Caenorhabditis elegans: one gene and its partners. The protein of the gene in region 1 purifies or fractionates together with the protein of each later gene. This does not show direct contact. Each region holds a gene or a part of one and is shown on either strand. Other genes may lie near its edges.

Evidence for each region.
Region 2: the proteins of R09A8.9 (region 1) and perm-4 fractionate together in Caenorhabditis elegans (co-fractionation; one large-scale study listed by BioGRID). This does not show direct contact.
Region 3: the proteins of R09A8.9 (region 1) and Y51A2D.8 fractionate together in Caenorhabditis elegans (co-fractionation; one large-scale study listed by BioGRID). This does not show direct contact.
Region 4: the proteins of R09A8.9 (region 1) and mtcu-1 fractionate together in Caenorhabditis elegans (co-fractionation; one large-scale study listed by BioGRID). This does not show direct contact.

Annotation. Positions count from the first base shown.
Region 1 is NC_003284.9:12,602,306-12,605,732, forward strand, and holds R09A8.9 (GH10 domain-containing protein), read left to right. Parts: upstream 1-1,755; 5' UTR 1,756-1,758; intron 1,759-1,830; 5' UTR 1,831-2,585; intron 2,586-2,636; 5' UTR 2,637-2,655; coding exon 2,656-2,710; intron 2,711-2,765; coding exon 2,766-2,866; 3' UTR 2,867-2,926; downstream 2,927-3,427. Other genes in the region: T24D5.6 (uncharacterized protein), read left to right, coding at 1,317-1,407, 1,459-1,524, 1,571-1,755.
Region 2 is NC_003282.8:1,120,991-1,126,842, reverse strand, and holds perm-4 (PERMeable eggshell), read left to right. Parts: upstream 1-1,735; 5' UTR 1,736-1,757; coding exon 1,758-1,814; intron 1,815-1,871; coding exon 1,872-2,019; intron 2,020-3,179; coding exon 3,180-3,640; intron 3,641-4,931; coding exon 4,932-5,261; 3' UTR 5,262-5,349; downstream 5,350-5,852. Other genes in the region: perm-2 (uncharacterized protein), read right to left, coding at 1-42.
Region 3 is NC_003283.11:18,549,497-18,555,439, reverse strand, and holds Y51A2D.8 (Cysteine proteinase), read left to right. Parts: upstream 1-1,589; 5' UTR 1,590-1,593; coding exon 1,594-1,739; intron 1,740-2,140; coding exon 2,141-2,221; intron 2,222-2,579; coding exon 2,580-2,943; intron 2,944-3,987; coding exon 3,988-4,182; intron 4,183-4,309; coding exon 4,310-4,400; intron 4,401-5,104; coding exon 5,105-5,388; 3' UTR 5,389-5,437; downstream 5,438-5,943.
Region 4 is NC_003279.8:14,770,147-14,776,744, reverse strand, and holds mtcu-1 (TrmE-type G domain-containing protein), read left to right. Parts: upstream 1-1,737; 5' UTR 1,738-1,748; coding exon 1,749-1,815; intron 1,816-2,014; coding exon 2,015-2,282; intron 2,283-2,807; coding exon 2,808-2,939; intron 2,940-3,989; coding exon 3,990-4,272; intron 4,273-5,426; coding exon 5,427-5,833; intron 5,834-5,879; coding exon 5,880-6,042; 3' UTR 6,043-6,056; downstream 6,057-6,598. Other genes in the region: F39B2.5 (SH2 domain-containing protein), read left to right, coding at 108-154, 207-331, 380-498, 1,203-1,490.

The DNA of each region.
Region 1 (3,427 bases):
GTAATTGTATTATTTTCAAATTGTTTTTTTTTTCGAAAAGTAGACGAACATTCTGGCAGAGTATCGGAAAATTTTGGTTTCTAGGAAAAATTCTGAAATTTTCTTCAATCCGGAGTTTTTTTTAATTAAAAATTTTTCGAAAAAATTATACAGGTCTCCAAAGAAGTGCAAAAATGGCCTGAGATAGTTTTAGATCGATATTTTTGAAGTAGAGCTTTGCCGCTCAAAACTTTGCAGTAACATATTCTATGGAACATTATTAAATGACACCTGTCTCTTGCTTTGAAGTCTGACGGTGAAATGAAAACCTTTCCTTGTTAATAAAAACATTTTCATCTCAACAAAATTGCATTTATTTTTGATTCTGACCTGAAATATTTACCGAAAAAAGCTATTTCTTGAATTTTCTTGATTTCTTGCCTATTTCTGGACTCTGGAAAGATTTCCTCTCCCATCTCGTCTCCATAACAATTACCTGTCTTGAATCAACTGGTTTAAGTGAGTCAGCCAATATGCTTTCCTTATTTTTTTTCAAGACATATTATCTTTTTAGCTTCAATGTATTTTTTACAGACCTCAATCAAACGACGATGCAAGAAGGATGGAAGGATGGAAAAAGGAAGGAAAACATCCAAATTTGTAAGGAATTTTTTTTTGATTTTTTAACTAAACTGCAAATTTTTACAGATGCTGAAGGCTGTGATGAGACAAGATGATGGGCAATGAATGGAAGGATCAGGACGATTGCGATTGATGGATGGGGACAAGGGACGACGACGACGAAGAATCGGATAGGTGGATGGGTCGACGACGATCGGGATGGAACGGTTGGAACAGGATTCGGCGGAAAAAAACATGTAAGAAACATTCTCCTTTTAGCTTCAAGTAAAATGTAACTTTTTACAGATCTCAGGCTAACGACGATGATGGATGGTAGGAACGATGATGGTTGGTAGGAAGGATGGATGGGAAAAAGGAACGAAACAATCCTAATTTGTTAGGCATTTTTTAAATGCTTAAACTACAAGTTTTTAAAGATGCTGTAATGAAAGCTGTGATGAACCAAACCGCCGGCCAATGGATGGAAAGGTCAGGAAGATCGAGATAGATTCGGGATGGATCGGGACGAAATGACGACGACGACGACGGATGGACAAATGTTCCTTCTTGTGAGTGTTCTGAACCGGGTTCAAAAGTAACAGGCAAAAGCTGCATTTTCGGTTTCACTGCTATCACCTGAGTTGATTTGTCAAAAAACATAAATGCTTCCAGGAACAACATGGTGGACAATGGATGGAAGGATCAGGACGATCGGGATGGATGGCTTCGGGATGAATCAGGGCGACGACGACGACGCCGACGATGGATCGGATGGGTGGATAGATCGAAGACAATCGGGATGGATTGGTAAGTGATCCTCTCTCCTTTTAGCTTCAATTAACATGTAACTTTTTGAAGATCTCAAGCAATCGATAATGATTAAAGGATGGATGGTTGGAACAATGGAAATAGAAAATCCAAAGTGTAAGGAATTCGTTTGATGCTGCATCTAAACTGAAAACGTTTACAGATGCTGAAAGCTGTGATGGAACAAATTCTGGGCAGTGGATGGGATGGGCAAGACGATCACGATGGGTGGATTCGGGATGGATCGGGACGATGGACGACGACGACAAAGGATCGGATGGATGGATGGATCGACGACGATCGGAATGGATAGTTCCGGGACAGGTCGAGATGGAGATGGACAGCTGACATGTAACCTTTTACAGATCTCTAGCAAACGAAGAAGGATGGATGGTAGGTCATTTAAACTAAGAACTTTTACAGATGTTGAAAGCTGTGATTGAACAAATTCTGGACTGGACATGGACTGGAATGGGCAGGCCGATCAGGATGAATGGATCGGGACGAGACGACGACGACGACAAACAATAAGGATGGGTGGATGGATTTGGACGATCGAAAGGGATTTGGGACAAAACGACGACGACAAAGGATGAACAAATTCGGGGCGGATCGGGAGTAAGTGAATCCATCTTGCTCCTTCTTGTGAGTGTAGCGTCCCCATTACGTTTACCTGGCTTGAACTGAACTGGTTTGCTTGAATCTGTCACTGTCCAATTTCTGAACCGGGTTCAAAGTAGCAGGCAAGGGCTGCATTTTCGGATTCACTGCTACCCCCCTGAGTTGATTTGTTTGGAAACAAACAAATCTTGTACCGTACTCAGAGGCAGTGAAACTGATTAATCTCTTAATGGGAAATGCGAACTCCTGCGAAAAAAGAACAAGGAGACTGGAAATAGCGTCAAACAGACGAGGCTTATCGGACGGTTCTTGTCACATAGGTAAACTGTAATGGGTGATGCTGCACAGTTCTAACGGTACAGAACATCACTTGAAGTTGCATGAATGGATTCGATCGATGGATGGATGGACGAGGCAACAACGACGACGAACGATTAGGATGGATGGATGGAAGGATCGATCGAGAGAGATGATGGCTTCGGGATGGATCGGAACGATGGACGACGACGACGATGGGTCGGATGGGTGAATGGATCTACGACGATCGGGATGGACTGGTAAGTGATCTTTTCTTCATTTAGCTTCAACTAGAATGCAACTTTTTACAGATCAAGCAAACAATAAAGGATGGATGGTAGGAAGGAAGGATGGATGGAAATAAGACAGGATATAATCCAAACTTGTAAGGAATTTGTTTGATGTTTTGATGACAAGTACTAAACTTCAAGTTTTTACAGATGCTGAAAACTGTTTTGCAACAATATGGTGGAGGGATCAGGACGTTCGGGATGGATGGCTTCGGGATGGATCGGGACGATGGACGACGACGACTTTCTAATTTTTTATTTTCTGTTTTGATCATTTTTTTTTTCGATTTAATAAAAGTGAACGAATTTAACGAATTTGCCGTTTGCCGAATTAGCCGGGTTGTGTTTCCGCGTTTTCGCCGGTTCAGTTTTTTTTTTCAGATTTTAAAAATTCCATAGTTTTAAAATTTTCAAGTTTTCAAATTTGAAAAAAATCCTAAAATTCCAAAATTCCGAAATTCCAAAATTCCAAAAATTCCAAAATTCCAAAAATCCGAAAAATCCGAATTACAGAAAATTCCAAAAATTCAAAAAAATTCCAAAATTCCAAAATTCCGAAAGTTTCAAAATTCCGAAATTCCAAAAAATCCGAAACCGAAAAAACCGAAAAAATCCGTTTTTGGAATTTTGGACAAAAAACTGAATCGTTTTTGGAAGTTTGGAAGGGTAAAAAAGGACGAGCATAATGTCTTATAAAGTGGCCGTCTTGGAAGCGAGGGTCGGATACGGTAAGACGATACTTTTCAGAACAACCGTGTTTCAGGTTTTAGTCTAGATTCTAGAGTTATAAACCTCGACTTCGAATCATACTT
Region 2 (5,852 bases), on another chromosome or scaffold:
GCAAAGTGCCAGAGACGCGACGATCCAAGTGGTGGAAAACATGATGATGATCGGAGCCAAGATGCTTCGCCGCTTTTATACTTGAGATCCGCCAGAGATATGGAGGCGGGAACTCGGCATTGTAGTTTGAGGGGAAAACGTTAGGCGTTGGATAAAAAACAAAAAGGTTTGGAGCGCAAAAATGTTTGCTACGGAACCTGGAATTAAATCTCACAGCTGTGGTAACTGAGCCAACAAGTCAAAAGGCTCCAATACATGGTGAATCACTCGGACTTGATCAACTGGAAAAATGTTCCTTAACAGTTTTTCTACAGTGTTCTAGTTCAAAATGTGTTGATTTTCTCAAAATACACTTTGCTAAAAGATACACAAATTAGTTCTTTGAACCCCGCTGGATCTCAGACACATGTTGCAACACATCCTTAGGTCACTTTTTTTTCGACCGACTATTTTTTTCAGCTTTTCCATTTTCTTTTTTCTTCGCTGCTCAATCCATCACACATTCCGCTGGGCTCTTTTTCCTGCCGGCCGCAGCCGCCGCCCACCTGATTGCAACATGTTATATGAGAAATGGGATGATTGAGTGGGCTTGGAATTTCAGACATTTCAGATGATTTCATATGGAGCAACTCGTGATGGGTGAAAGTGCAATTGAATGAGAATGGAGAAATGTGCAAATACCTGGAATTTGGGCATGAAATAGATAATTAACGTATTATGTGAAAAATTTGTCTGACAAGGAAAGTAAGTTAATCTAGTCCCGGACTTCGAATCGAGACGTATGTCATTTGAAAGCTTATGGTTAGCCTAGATCACCGCAAAAATTTCAGATTTTTGGAAAAAAATAAAAATTTCCAAAAAGCTTCCACACTGTTTGTTTGACCCTAAAGACCCCCAAAAACAATTTTTAACCGCTCTAGCCACTTTTAAGGCCATTTACTTGACCTAGAATTCAGCAAAAAAATGCACTGGAGCACTTTCAGATGGCGCTTTCAGGGGTTCAGAGTTGAGTTCCGCCGCTGAAATTTTTTTGGTGATCTAGTCTAAACATAAGCTTTCAAAGGCATATGTCCTGATTCAAAGTCCGGGACTAGATTGACTTCCTTTCCTTGTGAATTGAAAGCTTTGGAGTGATTTATAGTGTTCCTAATGGATTTCTCTATGGATTTGCCAATAAAATTTCAACAATTTACATATCAATGAGCAAATTGCAAACACGTAAAATATGCATTACATAGTTTTACAAAGTTTTGTAATAAATTGATATTTATAAAAATACATAAGAGGGATACGAGCTGCTGAACAAAAATGCTGATTATGGTGCATTGAGAGTAGTTTTATTGTAAAATTTTGGCAGTAGGTTTTACATGCATTATTTATGCTTCAGATTCCCTTCTTTTTGGTGCATCGATGAAAAATTTACTGATCAACTTTAACAGTTCATATCTTCGTAGCCTTTGGTTTTATCAAAAAATTATCAACTGGCAAGTTATTTATTATTACTTTTTCTATAACTGTCTAGTTACAATTTTTTTGATATCTTGAAAATTAGCCGAGATATGGTGCAAATCTATCGATCATCTTTTCAATGTTTCCTCTTTTTTCCCCGTTCCATCAACTCAGACATTTCTACTTTCATCTTCCTCAAGCTTTTCCTCTTGATTTTTTTTTCTGTAGGCGGAGCCCATCCCATGTTCCCCCCGAACTATAAAAGCATGGCTCCGCCGACAAATCCATCATTCGATCGCTTTTCAGAAATGAAAACCGTTCTTCTTCTCACAGTCGCCTCGCTGGCCGCCGTCCTCGGTGCAAAGGTATATGGTTTTTTTGGATTTCCGCAATTTTAGGATAATCTGAAACATTTTCTGCAGCCAACACCCACCGAAGAGGTCAAGTCAGAGGCCGCTGCTGGTCGCTACGGCGGTCGTCCATCGTATGGAGGAGGAGGTTATGGAAATGGAGGAGGATATGGATACCCAGCATTCGGACCAGGATACTGGCAGCCACTTATTCAAGATCGTGAGTTCGTGAAAATTCAAATTTTAAGAGCTATAGTAATTTGGCAATAGAGCGCATTTGCGTAGACCTAGTTATGATTATACTTGTTTGAACCGCAATAGCCAACTTATTTCAAAAATGTAACATTTTTTGGGAATCATCAAAAAATTGACTTATTCATAGGTAGTTTTGTCAATTTTCAAATTTTCGAAAAATTTTGAAAAATTCATAAATTTCTCAGTTTTCGAGATTTTTCAATAATTTTTAAATCAAAATTAAGCTAGTTCTTCAAATTTTGTTGCAAAAATACTGTTTTTTTTTTTCAAAAAATCTGTAGAACTTAGGCCAATTTATCAGAATTAGAATTTTTGAAAATGTTTGAAAACCTGTAACTTTTCCAGTTTTTGAGATAATTGTTTGATTTTTATGTCAAATTAAAGATTAATTTTTTTTAAATTTTTTGGCAAAATTAACTGCGTTACTGTAGTATTTATTTAGATTAAATTTAATCTAGTTGGTGCAGAATTTCAAAAAAGCTACAATTTTCAAAAAATTTCATTGAGTTTAATGCCAAATTGAAGCTTAAATTTTATATTTTGAAAGAAATTGAAATTCGGTAGAAAACACACTTTTCCTAGGTTACGATAGCTTCCATTATTTTTTATACAAAATTCAAAAATTTACCCTTAAAATGACACAAAAACCATCCCAAAATCTCAAAAATTGAGAAAGTTATAGATTTTCAAAAATTTTTGAAATTTTGGACTTTTTTTTTTGGAAGAGTCAAATTTTATTGCTATTAAATTTTTTCGACAATTTTTATCGAAAACTAATTTTTCTTGAAAATTCAAAAATTTACCCTCAAAATACCACAAAAACCATCCCAATATCTCGAAAATTGAGAAAGTTATATAATAGATTTTTGAACATTTTCGAAAATTCATAACTTTTTTAGTTTTCGAGATTTTTTATTGAATTTATTGTAAAATTAGAGCCAATTTTTTAAAATTCTGTAGAACAAACTGATTTGAGTCAGGAATTTTTTTTGTCAAATTAACTAAAATGGTTTTTTTCTAAAATTTTCGAAAATCTACAACTTTTCCAGTTTTTGAGATATTTTATCAGTTTTTAAGTTAAATTGAAGCTGAAATTTTGAATTTTAAGATGAAAAATATTTACAGGCTTCGTATGCGACCTCGACGCCTCCGTGCTCCTCGTCGTCGACTCTGTCCGCCGCCATCATCGCCACCCACAGCCATACTACGGTGGAGCCCCATCCGTCCCAGCTAATCGTGCCGTTCGTGTAAAGTGCTCCGAAGTTGCTACCCATGATGAAGATTCCTGTAACTTCTGCTGCCAACAGACCGCCCGTCGTGACACTTCCCTTCCCAACGATCAACTCTTCGGATTCTTGGCTATTACCAAGGATGATGATGATGAGACATTCAAGAGATCCAAGAGAGGAGCTGATGATGATGATGATAATGATTCGGATTCTGATGAGAAGGACGGAAAACATGGACGTGGAAGATTCCATAAGGTTGACTCTACCTACTTGTCAGAGGCCAACTGGGAGCCAAAGAAATATCATAAGAATGTCAAGTGCGTGTGCTGTGCTCCAAGATCCTCTCCAGCTGCTCAGGTGGGGAATATTTTAAGGACTATTTTTTTTTGTTGGGAATTCAGTGATTTTGCTTTAATCTGGCTCAAAAATTACAAAAAAAATGTTGAAAAATGAGGAAGTTATAAATTTTCAAAAAACCGCGGAATTTCGATATTTGAAGATTTTGGCCTACGAGTCTAAAAGTCTAGTTTTGAAGACAGTAAATTTTTTGAAAATTTAAAATTAATCCTTTTTAAATAATTTCAAAATTTACTTTAAATTTGGCAAAAAAATCACTGAAAAATCTCATACACTGAAAAAGTTATAGATTTTCAAATTTCTGTCAGAATTAACAAAACTTTTAATTTTGGACCAATGACTTTCTTTTTGGTTTTTACCACAATTTAGTTTTTATATAACTAAAACAATTTCACTACAACATTTAACAATTCAGCTTTAATTTGGCCCAAAAATCTCTAGAAAATCTTGAAAACTAAGAAAGTTGAGAATGTTCAAAAAATCTCCGAATTTCGAAGTTTGAAGCCCTAAATTTAAGCCATATGACGAGTTCAAGCGTCTAGTTTTGAAGAAAATATGGTTTTTCAGCGTTCAGACTAGTTTTTTCCATAAAAATTGAAACTTCCGCTTTAATTTAACACTAAATTCACTAAAAAATCTCAAAAACTGAAAAAGTTTTGGATTTTTGAAAAATTTTAGAAAATTCCAAAGTTTGAGAATTTGGCATTAGGCCTACTTTTTTCAGCTATTTTACTGAATACATCACTCCAAACATGAATTTTTGTAAAATTTTAAAATTTATATTCAATTTGCCACAAAACTTATCCAAAAGTCTCAAAAACTAAGAATGCTATGGATTTTCGAAAAATCTCAAAATTTTGAAATTCGAAAAATAAGGAATTTGAGAGGAATTTTTCATGTTTTTGAACCTTTCTAAGACGATATTAAATTAAAAATTATTTTTTCCTAAAAAATATAAAAGTTTAGCTTCAATTTGACACAAAAATCACCAAAAACTCTCAAAAACTGAAAAAGCTACGAATTTTCCAAAAATTTTGAAATTCTCTCCAAAAATCTTCTCAAACTGAAAATTTCATCGGGATTTTATTGAATTTTGCAAAAAAAAAATCGATAATTTAGCCTATGTACCACTGAGTTTTAAAGAAAATTTCCTAAGAAATTTTTTTTTCAATTTCTGAAAACCCCTAACTTTGCCAGTTTTTGATATTTTTCAATGTTTTTTAGGTTATTTTGAAGCTCATATTTCAAAACTTTGAGGGAAAATTTATTATGCAATTCAATTTTCTTCCAGAACCCATCCTACAACAACAATGCTGCTCAATCCCCACCAACTGGCTACAACAACAACGCCAACGCCTTCGTCCAGCCACAACCAGTAGCTGCTCAGTCCCCACCAATGTCAGCCTCCCAGCCACTCGTTGACCTCTGGCAATCCGAGAATACTGCTCCATCAACATCATGGGGAGCTGCTCCAGCTGCTCCATCAACATCATGGGGAGCTGCTCCAGCTGCTCCACCAACCTGGGGAGGTGCTCCAACTGCTGCTCCAACTTGGGGAGCCGCCAATGATGCTCCACCAGCGGCCACGCCGGCTCCAGTTGCTGCTTCCAATGCTTATTAATTCGATTTTCTTACAAGTGACCTTTTTGTTTACATTTTTCAAATATAATTCGATTTTGCACAACCCAATAAATATCTTCTCCTGAAATTTTGTGCTACATAGCTATTTTGGAATAAACTACCAGTTTTTGAAGTTTCCGGCAACTTTGGAAGTTGCCAAATTTGTCATTCTTAAAATTTAGCTCTTCAAATTTAACTTTTGTAAAAGTTTTTGATAATTTTAGCAACTTAGACACTTGTTGAACTTTCAAATCATTCGCAGTCTCGCAACATACTATCAAATATTTTCCCACCTCTGGTCTAGATCATTTTGTTAAAACTCCTTTTTCTCAGAAAAAATTGACATTTTCCCACGTACTTTTCTACACTTTTTTGCTGTTTTCCAGACTTTAGAAAACCTCATGTATACATAGAAGCTTCACGAAAACCAGTGACCAGATTCCAAAAAGTTTTTGAGCCTGCTAGGGCTTCCCTGTAGGCGCCTGAACGCCTGCCGCGCCCGCCTTGCGGCGACCTCTGCCTGCCTTGCACCACGACCCGAATAGTGTCGGTCGCGGCCAAAGAACCACCTTTCGCACTTTGTGGAATAAAC
Region 3 (5,943 bases), on another chromosome or scaffold:
TAATTTTTATGTTTTAATTGGCATTTTTCATAAAATAAACGTTTAATTACAATTTTTAAAGTGTTTCTGTAAAAAAAATGAGCAAATTCTGACAAATATAGCCTAAAACCATGAGAGGGACACTTATGGGACACCTATGGGACATTCGGGGACACCAGGGGACATTTTAAACAATAAAAATGTAAAATTCGTGTTCTTCATAAAATTTGCAAAATTTTAACACCCATATTGATTATACTCTGAACATTTGGACGTTTTGGCCAAAAAACGGCCCAGAACGGCCTGAAACTGGCCCGAAACTCAAAATTTATTGAAAAATAGATTTTCTTCACCTAAAACTTCAAGATAATTTTCAGCCTTTTGATTTAACTTGCATAACAATGAAATGTTGAATTTCAGGCCAATTTCAGGCCATTTCAGGCCGTTCTAGACTTGAAATATGAGCACCACGAATTTAGGTCAAGGTAAGTGTAGAAATTTTGCAGTAATAAGAAAAACCTAAAAGTGAAAACGCAGTTCCAGAAAATCTAGAAATTCAGGCCTGAAACGGCCTGAAACGGCCCGAATCGGTCCAAATCATTTCGACAAGCCCAGTTTCTTGAAATATAGCCGATGTAAATGTCAAATCCATAAAAATGATATAAAAAATATTGCCATGTACATTAAAAAAAAAATTTTTTTTGGAAAAATATTTGAACCGTTCAAAATTAAACCATTTTTCATGTTTTAATTTGCAATATAAACGCTTAACTACATCTATGCAAGTGTTTCTGTAAAAAAAGAGCAACTTCTGACAAATATAGCCTGAAAACCACGAGTGGGACACTTATGGGACACCTATGGGACATTCGGGGACACCCGGTAAAATTTTGAGAAATATGAACTCAAAATTCGTGTTCTTCATGAAATTTGCCTAGTTTTGAAACCCATATTGGCTATGTTCTACAAACTTTGAAATTTTGGGCAAAAAACGGCCCGGAGCCTGAAAATGGCCTGAAATACAAAACTTTCCTTTAAATAACTTTTATTTCACAGTTTCAAATTTTTCAAAAACGTTTGCTGAAATTATCGACATATACCCGTCAATATTTGTTTTCAAGCCTAGAACGGCCTGAACTGTCCTAAAACTGGTCTGAAATTCAATTTTCCGCAAACATAACCAATTTAGTAGTTCCTTATACAAGTTGGCAAATTACTACAAACGCACTGGCATTAAACTGAGTGTATTGATATTTGGGCTCCAAAAAGCCCGAAACGGCCTAAAACTGGTCTGAAATTCAAATTTCCTCGAATATAGCCAATATGGGGGTCAAATAAACGGAAATTTTATGAAGATTCCAAATTTTCATGTAACAAGGCTTGAAAAAAATCAAAATTTTCAATAACTTGCTCATAAATTAATTTTTCAACCCCCTGTCAACACCAAAAATCTATAAAAGAACCCCAACAAATTCGATGTCGAAATGTGCAGAATCACCCCGATCTTTCCAACTTTTTCCCCCGAAAAAGTGGAAAATTTTACGATTTCGGCCATAAAACTCGGAAGCTTAAAAGCCAACCGTAGCCCGAGGCAATCAAAATTTCGCCGCGAAAATGCAAGTTTTCGTGATTTTCCTGGTGGTTCTACCCATTTCAGGGGTAGTTTCCATCAATATTACAGAACCCGAATTTTTTGAAATTAATATCGATCGGGACCATCCGGAGAAGCTCTACAAGGCTTTTGAGGATTTTAAAAAAAAGTGAGTTTTTTTAATAACGAAAACTTGGCCCAAACTTCAAAATTTTGAAAAATCAATTAAAAATTCGGATTCCCCATAGCAAATAACCCCTACGCCTGAGTTTTCAGAATTTTAGTGCAAAATCCCGTCAAATCGGGTGCCGGGTACGCAAACACCAGGCTACAGTAACCCAAAACACCGGATTTGACGACATTTCGCACGAAATTGTTGAAAAATAGGGTGCAGGGGTAATTTTGGGTGGAGAATTCGAATTTTTACATAATTTTTCAAAAAAAAAATGGTTTTGAAGTGTTGAAATTTCGATTTTCAGAAATAATTGAACATTTCTATTAAAATTTTTCAGAAATCTTATTGTTGCCGTTTTAAGCCACTTTTGAGAAAAAAAACATAATTTTTCACAGGTACAACCGAAAATACAAGGACGAGTCGGAGAATCAGCAGAGATTCAATAATTTCGTAAAATCCTACAACAATGTCGATAAGTAAGTGAAAAAAAACATGGCCCAAACTTCAGAATTTTCAAATTTCGAGTCGAAATTCGGATTCTACGTAGCAAATAACCACTAACCCCGTTTTTCAAAAATTTAGCGCAAAATTCCGTCAAATTGGGTGTAAGGTCCACAAACACTAGGCTACAGTAACCAAAAACACCAGATTTGACGCAAAATTGCACTAAAGCGTTGAAAATTTCGGGACAGGGGTAATTTGAGGCGTAGATTTCGAATTTCATAATGAAAATGTTTTAAATTTGAGTTTAAAAATGAAATTTTTGAATAAAAAATTTCGAAAAAAAATTTCAAAAAAATTTTTTTTTTTCGGTTTTTTTTCAATTTTTTTCAGATTAAACGCAAAGTCAAAAGCAGCCGGATATGACACCCAATTTGGCATTAACAAGTTTTCTGACCTATCCACCGCCGAATTCCACGGCCGTTTGTCCAATGTAGTGCCCAGCAACAATACAGGGCTCCCAATGCTCAACTTCGACAAGAAAAAACCGGATTTTCGCGCGGCCGACATGAATAAAACACGCCATAAGCGTAGATCAACACGCTATCCAGACTATTTCGACTTGAGAAACGAGAAAATCAACGGGCGATACATTGTGGGCCCGATCAAGGATCAGGGGCAATGTGCGTGTTGCTGGGGATTCGCGGTCACCGCACTGGTGGAGACTGTGTATGCAGCACATTCTGGAAAGTTTAAGGTAAAAATAAAACAATTATTTGAAAAATTTGAATGAAAACTGTGAAAGTTCGAGGAAAATCGGTGAAAAATTGGCGTGAAAACTCGAATTTTTCGATTTTTTTTTGAAAACAGAAAACATTGCCGTTGGAGCGCATTTACACCCTCTAGCCTGAAATTTAATTCTATTTTTCTGTAAATATATCGTAGATCACATTTTTTGCTATGTTTTCCATTTTGAAAAATGGCAAAGTTACGTTAGTTTCAAGTGTTTAAAGCGAAGTTGAACGAATTTTCAGTAGGTTCTCAGCGGAGTGCGTTTACTGCTTTTACACTAAATTTTATTAGACTTTGACTATTTTAATATTAAACTTTGCAAAAATTGGTATTGTACACGTTTTTTAAATTTGGAAAATCTTGAAAATTGGCCAAATTACGGATGTTTCAAATTTTCTAGTCAAAATACACAGAGTTTTGAGGAGTTCTCATTGGAGCGCATTTACAACCCCTAAACTAACTTTTCTCTTATTTTTTTGTGCATAGTTAATGTAGATCACATGTTTCTCTACTAGTTTCTTTTGGAAAAATAAGAAAATCTTGAAAACTGGCCAAGATACGATTTTTCACAAATTTGGGTCAAAAAATGAGAAATTTTGAAATATTCTTATTGAAACGCATTGGCAAGCCCAAAACTAATTTTTTTTTTCAAATTTTCAATGTATTTAGTGTAGATCACATGTTATTTCACTAGTTTCTTTTTTAAAAATAAGAAAATCTTGAAAATTGACCTATTTACGGATGTTTCAAATTTTCTAGTCAAAATCAACAGAATTTGTAAGAATTCTCATTGGAGCGCATTTACAACCTCAAAACTGACATTTTTTCATGATTGACTACTACAAATATAGCAGATCATATAATTAGGCGCAATTTTCAGTTTGAAACTAAAAAAAATCTTAAAAATTGGCAAAGTTACGGTAGTTTCAAATTTTTCAGTTAAACTTGGCAGAATTTCAGAATTTCACTGAATTTTTGAATTTCTATGTAAATTTTTGAATATTTTCAGTCCCTATCTGACCAAGAGGTTTGTGATTGCGGTACGGAAGGAACACCGGGATGTAAGGGAGGAAGCTTGACCCTCGGAGTCCAGTACGTCAAGAAATATGGGCTTTCTGGAGATGAAGACTATCCTTACGATCAAAATCGGGCTAACCAGGGCAGAAGATGTCGTTTAAGAGAAACTGACAGAATTGTGCCGGCTGTGAGTTGGAAATTTGAAAATTTGAAAAAATTCCAAAAAAAAAAATTTTTTTTTCAAAAATTTTTTTTTCAAAATTTTTACTTTTTTTAGAATCAAATTTTTTAATTTTCTACCAAATTTTGTTCAGAGAGCCTTCAACTTTGCCGTAATCAACCCACGCCGAGCCGAAGAACAAATCATCCAGGTGCTCACCGAGTGGAAGGTCCCAGTAGCTGTCTGTAAGTCGGCGGGACCAACTGGGGGACATGGGACATCCGGGAGTTTTGAAATTATTAAATTCAAAATCTCCTAAAAATTTGCAAAGTTTTGACATCCATATTGGCTATATTTGGAGAAATTTGAAATTTGGGCCTGAAACGGCCTAAAATTGGCCTAAAATCGGCCTGAAACTCAAAATTTTCAGTCTATAGCCCATGTTAGTGTACCAAAAAAAAATTTCAATTAAAAGCCAAGTATTTTGGCTATATTTCAGTAAATTATATTTTAAGACCTGTTTCAGGCCTATTTCGGCCTGAAATCGGCTCAATACTCAAAATTCTTTTGTTTTGGTGTCACAATTTTACCATTCAATTGAAAACTTGAAAATATTTGGAACATTTCATTTCAAGGCCAATTTTACCCTAAACCGGCCTAAAACCGGCCCGAAACTCGAAATTTGCCGATCGAAATCGATGTCGGTGCCAAAATTTTGAAAATTAAATAACCAACTCAAAAGTTTTGCTGAATATGAAGTACTTTCTTTTCAGGCCTGTTTTGGCCTAGAATCGGCCTGAAATTGGCCCAAAACCCAAACTTATCGAAATATAGTCGATATGGGTGTTAAAATTTTGCAAATTTAACGTGTAATTCAAAAATCTAGCTGAAAACCTGCAGAAACTCCAAGTTTTTCGAAAAAACTCGAAATTAAAAAAAAAAATTCCAGATTTCAAAGTCGGCGATCAATTCAAAGAATATAAAGAAGGAGTGATCATTGAGGACGATTGTAGAAGAGCTACTCAATGGCATGCCGGAGCAATTGTGGGTTACGATACCGTTGAGGATAGCCGTGGAAGAAGTCACGACTACTGGATTATCAAGAACTCCTGGGGAGGCGATTGGGCTGAGTCGGGATATGTTCGAGTGGTCAGGGGTAGGGATTGGTGCTCAATTGAGGATCAACCAATGACTGGAGACATCAAAGATCATAAAGATAACTATTACTATTAATTTATTTTTCTCACTTCTTTTTGTTAAAAAAATGAAAAATAATTATTTTTTTCGAAAATTTGTTTCTTCAAATTTCACAAAAACTCTTCAATTTTAAGCTGTTTTACTTAAAAAATTGAATTCTACGCAAAAAATGTGTTGATTTAACACCCATATCGACTATATTCGAAAAACTTGAACTTCAGGCCGTTTCAGGCCATTTCAGGCCATTTCAGGCCCAAAATTTCAAAAAGTTGCTTTGTGCCTTGCTTTTACCAGCAGTTGGTGATCTTCAACGTGGAATCCGATTGAGGAGGCAATTTTGGGAAATAATCAGCTTATTGGCTGAAATTTCTAAAATTTAAACCGAAAACTTGGCCCAAATCTGGGAATTTCGAAAAATTAAGCTCAAATTCGAACTCCGCGTGGTAAATTACCCCCTACCCACAATTTTCAGAATTTTTGTGCAAAATCCCGTCAAATCTGGTGCCAAGTTCGCAAACACCACGCTACAGTAACCCAAAACACCCGATTTGACGACATTTTGCACTAGAGCTCTGAAAATCCGGGTTCAGG
Region 4 (6,598 bases), on another chromosome or scaffold:
GTGGAGTACACGACTTCCGTAAATCGACAATCTTCAATTTTAAAATTCAATTAATTTTGTTAAGATTGAAACTATTTTCAGTAACAAAAGTTTCCTTCAATGCTCCTATGCCCTCCAACAAGGTGATTTGTTCTGATCTTTACGATTGTGATTGGTAAACAATAAAATAACTGAAAAAAGATTTAAATATGCCTATTTTATTCCAGGTATTGGGGAGATTTGGACTGGAAATGGGCAGAACGGCTGCTCCTTTTGTGCCCAATCGGATATTTTTTAATTCGAGACAGTCGAAGTGAAACTCATCTTTTCACTGTTTCTTATCATTTTCAAGGTATTGTTTTTCAAAAAATCAATTTTTTCCAAATAAATATAATTTCAGATAGAGTCTATCATTCGCGCTTGTCACTTGAAGATTCACGACGGAATTTGGGTAGTCGGCAGCCATACGTCTCACGTGACTATTGGAATCTTGTGGAAATTATTGAGAGAAGTTTAGAGGTATGTAGTACATTTAAAAATATCTATGATTTTTGATTTTAAAAAAATCGGAAAAGAGTAAAACTTTAAAAAAAAATTGTGACAGGCCAAAAAGGTCGAAAATATTTTTCGAAGAGTTAAAAAAAATCGAAATTTTCCCAAAATGTTTCCGGAAATCGAAAATATATTTTTTTAAAAGCAAATTATTTTTCCGAAAAACGGAAAAAAACTATTTTTTTTAAGTGAAAATAATTATTTTTCTTTTTAAAAAATTCGAAAACTAAAAAAATTCAAATTTTCCGAAAGTATGTCCTTTTTTTCTCAAAATTAGAAATTAAAAAAGAGTATTAATCAAAAAAAAATTTTTCGGAACATAATTTTAAAAATTAAAATTGAAAAACAAATCAAACACAATACAACCATTTTTTTTCATAAAATCGAGAAAAAATCCTTTTTTTTTCGAAAAACCAAAAAAAAATCACGAGAAAAATAATCGATTGTTCTAAAAAAAATTCACTTTTTTGCAGAAAAAAATTAAAAAATCACCATTTTTGTTCACAAAAAAAACCACATTCCCGAAAGAAAATAGTTCAGTTTTTTCAGAAATTAGTTTTTTTTTCAAAAATCCGAAAAAAACTGAGTTTTTCAAGCAAAAAAATAATTTAATGTTTCAAAAATCAAAAAAAATCGTAGTTTTTCGGAAAAAAACACTAAACTTTTTTCAGCAATCCCTAACAGGACAACAAGAAATGCTCCACTATCGACGTGGACATGAAGCCGAAGCAGCGCGTGTCAATTTAACACGTCCACTCACAAAACGAGAGCTTCTACCATCACTACAGTACCTCTGTCGATTTACCCTGAAAACGAGTCAACAAAAACCACCGACACCCAAAACAGCTCCTCTGCCACCAACGATTTTAAAGTATTTGAGTGATTCGAAATGGATTATTCCTGATTTGAAGAAATGTGAAGAGCAATTGAAATTAAGATTTTGTGTAATTAATAATTAATTGTTTTAGTTTTGAATTATATCGAATTACGGGGTTTTTTTTGAATGCTTAATAAATAACTTTTTTCTCTCAAATTTAAGTTATATATTCATAAAATCTCGGTTTCTTTCCAGAAAAATTGTCACGGATCCTGTTTTTTATTAAATTTTCAAACATTTTTTTAAGATCGTGAAAATTTTGAAATTAAAAAAAAGAACCTTTCGAGTAATCAAATTTTTTTTTAATTGGAAAAGAATAATTTTTTCAGGCATTTAGAAAATGTCGACAATCTTCGCCCTATCGTCTGGCACATTGCCAAGCGCAATTGCGATGTTCCGCGTTTCAGGTTAATTTTCAGAACAATTGAAAAAAAAAATTCCATTAGGTTACGAATGGTTCATTTTGAAAAAATTTCTGCCAAAATAGCCATAAACAATATAAAAATCTCTGAAAAAATTCGTACGATGCTCTTGCGAAACCCCCCCCCCCCCCAAAAAAAGGCTTTCTGAGCTTACTGTTCACAGTATTCACAGTATTTTTTCCAGGATCACAAAGCCTCCCCGTACTCCGCCAGCTGAGCCGTCGAAAAGTTTGGAAGCCGAAAACGATGAAATACACGAAATTGTACGATTCAGAGAGCAAAATCATCGATGAAGCAATGGCGGTATATCTTCCCGGCCCGAAAACGTTTACCGGAGAAGACACAGCCGAGTTTTTTCTACATGGAAGTCAGGCCGTGGCCGTGAAGTTTGCCTCATGTTTGGCTGGAATTCAAAATGTTCGAGAAGCGAAGCGAGGAGAATTCACGAGGAGGTTATTATTAGCATACGATTTTCAAAAATCGGGGTTCAAACCAGGGATGGGCAGCAATTGCCGTTCGGCAAATTTTTTTCGACAAATTCGGCGATTCCGGCAATTTGCCGATTTGCCGGAAATTTCAATTCCGACAATTTGCTGATTTGCCGATTTGCCAATTTGCCGGAAAAATTGTTTGCCGTCCACCCCTGGTTAAAACGCGCTCCACGGCTAAAAGTTGGGTCTCGCTAGGTTTTGGCTGCTGCAAAACCGTAATTTCGAACGTTTTCAATAAGTTTTCGTTATTTTTGTTATGTTTCCTGTCGTTTATTAATTAATTTTATGTTGAAAAAATGTCCAAAAGTGCTTTAATTTTTCATTTAACCATGAAAACAAAATAACATTAGAGTTTTTGGTTTTGCCGCCGAATAAAAATTCCAAACTTTCCGCAGTTGAGCGCGCTTGCACATCTGTTTCAAAATATTTTGAATGCATTTAAATGCACATTTTGGGTCTCTATAATAACTCTTAGTTAATTTACAGAGCATTTCACAACGGAAAATTGAGCATTTCCGAGGTTCGAGGAATCGATCGGCTAATTAAATCTCGAACCGAAAAAGAACGAAATGCGGCATTTGGTCAAATGCGTGGTGGAGTTCGAGCTATTGAAATAAGGTATTGAAGTGAGAAAAATTGGAATTTTATATTGTTCGCAAGCAATTTGAAAAAACAAAAAAATCCCTCGAGATTTGGAATTTTTGGAAAAAAAAACTTAAAAAAAAAAGGAAAAAAAAAGATTTATAGGGATTTTTAAAAATTTCATTAAAACTTATGATATCGTACGAGCTTTTCAATAATACATTTTTTCAAATTGCCGGAATAGAAATGTCCGGCAAATCGACAATTTGTCGGTATTGAAAACTTCCGGCGAATCAGAAAATTGCTGGAATTGAAATTTCCGGCAAATCGGCAAATTGCTGGAATTGAAATTTCCGGCAAATCGGCAAATTGCTGGAATTGAAATTTCCGGCAAATCGGCAAATTGCTGGAATTGAAATTTCCGGCAAATCGGCAAATTGCTGGAATTGAAATTTCCGGCAAATCGGCAAATTGCTGGAATTGAAATTTCCGGCAAATCGGCAAATTGCTGGAATTGAAATTTCCGGCAAATCGGCAAATTGCTGGAATTGAAATTTCCGACAAATCGGCAAATTGCTGGAATTGAAATTTCCGGCAAATCGGCAAATTGCTGGAATTGAAATTTCCGGCAAATCGGCAAATTGCTGGAATTGAAATTTCCGGCAAATCGGCAAATTGCTGGAATTGAAATTTCCGGCAAATCGGCAAATTGCTGGAATTGAAATTTCCGGCAAATCGGCAAATTGCTGGAATTGAAATTTCCGGCAAATCGGCAAATTGCTGGAATTGAAATTTCCGGCAAATCGGCAAATTGCTGGAATTGAAATTTCCGGCAAATCGGCAAATTGCTGGAATTGAAATTTCCGGCAAATCGACAAATTTCTGGAATGGAAATTTCCGGGAAATCGGCAACTTGCCGGAATTGAAATTACCGATAAATCGACAATTTGCCGGAATTGGAAATTTCCGGCAAATCGGAAAATTGCCGGAATTGAAATTTTCGGCAAACCGGCAATTTGCCAATTTGCTGAATTTGTCGACAAAAACTTCGTGCCGCATACCCCTGACATTTACTCTCAATTTCAGGAAGCAATTAATTCAAATTCTATCGAAACTATTTGTGATCATTGATTTTGGAGAACACGTGAACTTGGAATTACGCGAAGCTCAACAAGATGTCTCTGAAATTCTTCATGAACTCAATCGAATGATCAAAGCGTGGGATGGTGCAGAACGGGCTCAACGTGGATTGGATATTGTGCTCTATGGAAGACCGAATTCCGGAAAATCAAGCATTTTAAATCAGTTAGCGCATGATGACGTGGCAATTGTTAGCTCGATTCCTGGAACCACGAGAGATAGTTTGGAAGTAAAAATGATCATATAAACCTATTGAAGTGTTAAAATTTTTCAAATTTTTCAAAAATTAACCAAAAAATTTCAATCAAATTTTCTTTTGCGATTTTTTTTTCTGAAACTAAAATCAGTTTTTCCAAAACTACAGTAATCCTACAGTATTCCCTACAATACTACTACAGTACTCCAATCATATCCCCCTATTAACACCAAACTAATAACCCTTCAAAATACGAAAAACCAGTTTTTCTCCAACTACAGTAACCCTACAGTAATCCTACAGTATTCCCTACAGTACTACTACAGTACCCTAGCCACGTTCCCTTGAACAATCAATTTTGAAACTCCTCTAAAACACACAATTTTGAAATTTAAAAAGTGGCAAAAATTCCAATTTTTTGTAAAAATTCACAATTTTGAAACTCTTCTAAAATGGGCAATTTTGTAGCTAGAGGACTCAAAATTGATCTGCAAACATTAAAAAAATTTTCCTTTTTAAGAATATAATAGTTTTGAACATTTTTAGGGAAATTATTTTTTTGCCCAAAATAAAAAAAGGATAGTCATTAGATGGCTGAAAATAGTTTGGGCAAAAATAAAAAGTTGTCTAAATTTGTTGAAAACGGGTAATTTATGTATGTTGAATTCAGAAAATCTAGGTTTAACCCGTCAAAAACTTTTAAAAAGTGGCAAAAATGGCAGATTTATGGCAAAAATTCACAATTTTGAATCTTCTCTAAAATGGGCAATTTTGTAGCTAGAGGACTCAAAATTGATTTAGGATTATAAAAAAATTGACCTTTTTCAGAATATAGTAGTTTTAAACATTTTCAGAAAAATTATTTTTTTGCCCAAAATAAAAAAAAAGGACAGTCATTAGATGGCTGAAAATAATTTGGGCAAAAATAAAAAGTTGTCTAAATTTGTTGAAAACGGGTAATTTATGTATGTTGAATTCAGAAAATCTAGGTTTAACCCGTCAAAAACTATTAAAAAGTGGCAAAAATGGCCAATTTATAGCAAAAATTCACAATTTTGAATCTTCTCTAAAACGGGCAATTTTGTAGCTCAAAAGACGAAAAGTCAATTTTTCGAAAACTACGGTAATCCTACAGTACTCCTAGAGTGCCTGGAAAATGTTCCAAACATTAATTGAAAATCTTACAGACAATCATTCAAATTAACGGAGTTCGATGCCGTCTCACAGACACTGCTGGAGTTCGACAAAAAACTAATGACGTCATTGAGGCAGAAGGTATTCGACGTGCTCAAAAACGAATCCAATCAGCTGACATTATCTGCGTTGTCGTGGATCCACAATTCACGTCGGATGACGATGTTGAATCGATTTTGAATGACGTGGAAGTGATGCGAAATCGCGAAGCTCGTGTGATTATTGCAAAGAATAAGTCTGATCTGAGTCTGAAGTATCCAAAACTTCCCTCAAATTTCACTACTGTATCTACAAATGCTACCACAGATACTGGCTGCAAACAACTTCAAAACTGTTTGGGAGAAATTGTAGATGATCTGTGTCCTGAAGCAAGTTATTTACTAGATGCAGATCTGTTAAGGTTTTTTTTTGTCAAAAAATAATATTCAAAGTTGTTTTAATTTCAGAAGATGCTCATTCGAATTGGAGTCAGCTGTAACGTGTAACGACGCAGCAATCATGTGTTCACATCTGGAAGTTGCCTTGGAACAAATCGGAGAGCTCACCGAGGGAATTGTCACTGAAAGTGTTCTAGATGGAATTTTTAGCAAATTTTGTATCGGAAAATAAAAGCTTTGACCATTTTTGGCACTTTTAAATAGTTTTTTTTTGGGTTAAACCTAGATTTTCTGAATTCAGCGTGTATGAATTACCCGTTTTCACCTTTTGATTTTTGCCCAATTTTTTTTCAGCCATCTAATGACTGTCCTTTTTTTATTTTGGGCAAAAAAAAAAGTTTTCTGAAAATGTTCAAAGCCACTATATTCTGATAATGGACAATTTTTTAGTCTTTATAGATCAATTTAGAGTCATCTAACTTCAAAATTGCCCATTTTAGATGTGTTTCAAAGTTGTGAATTTTTGCCATAAATTGCCCATTTTTGCCATTTTTTAATAGTTTTTGATGGGTTATACCTAGATTTTCTGAAAATTTTTTTTCGGCCATCTAATGACTGTCCTTTTTCTTTTATTTTGGGCAAAAAAATAATTTTTCTCAAAGTGTGCAAAACCACTATATTCTGAAAAAAGGCAATTTTTTATTGTTTGGAGATAAATTTTGAGTCGCCTAGCTATAAAATTAACCATTTTAGAAGAGTTTCAACATTTTGGTTTCGCCCTTTTTTTG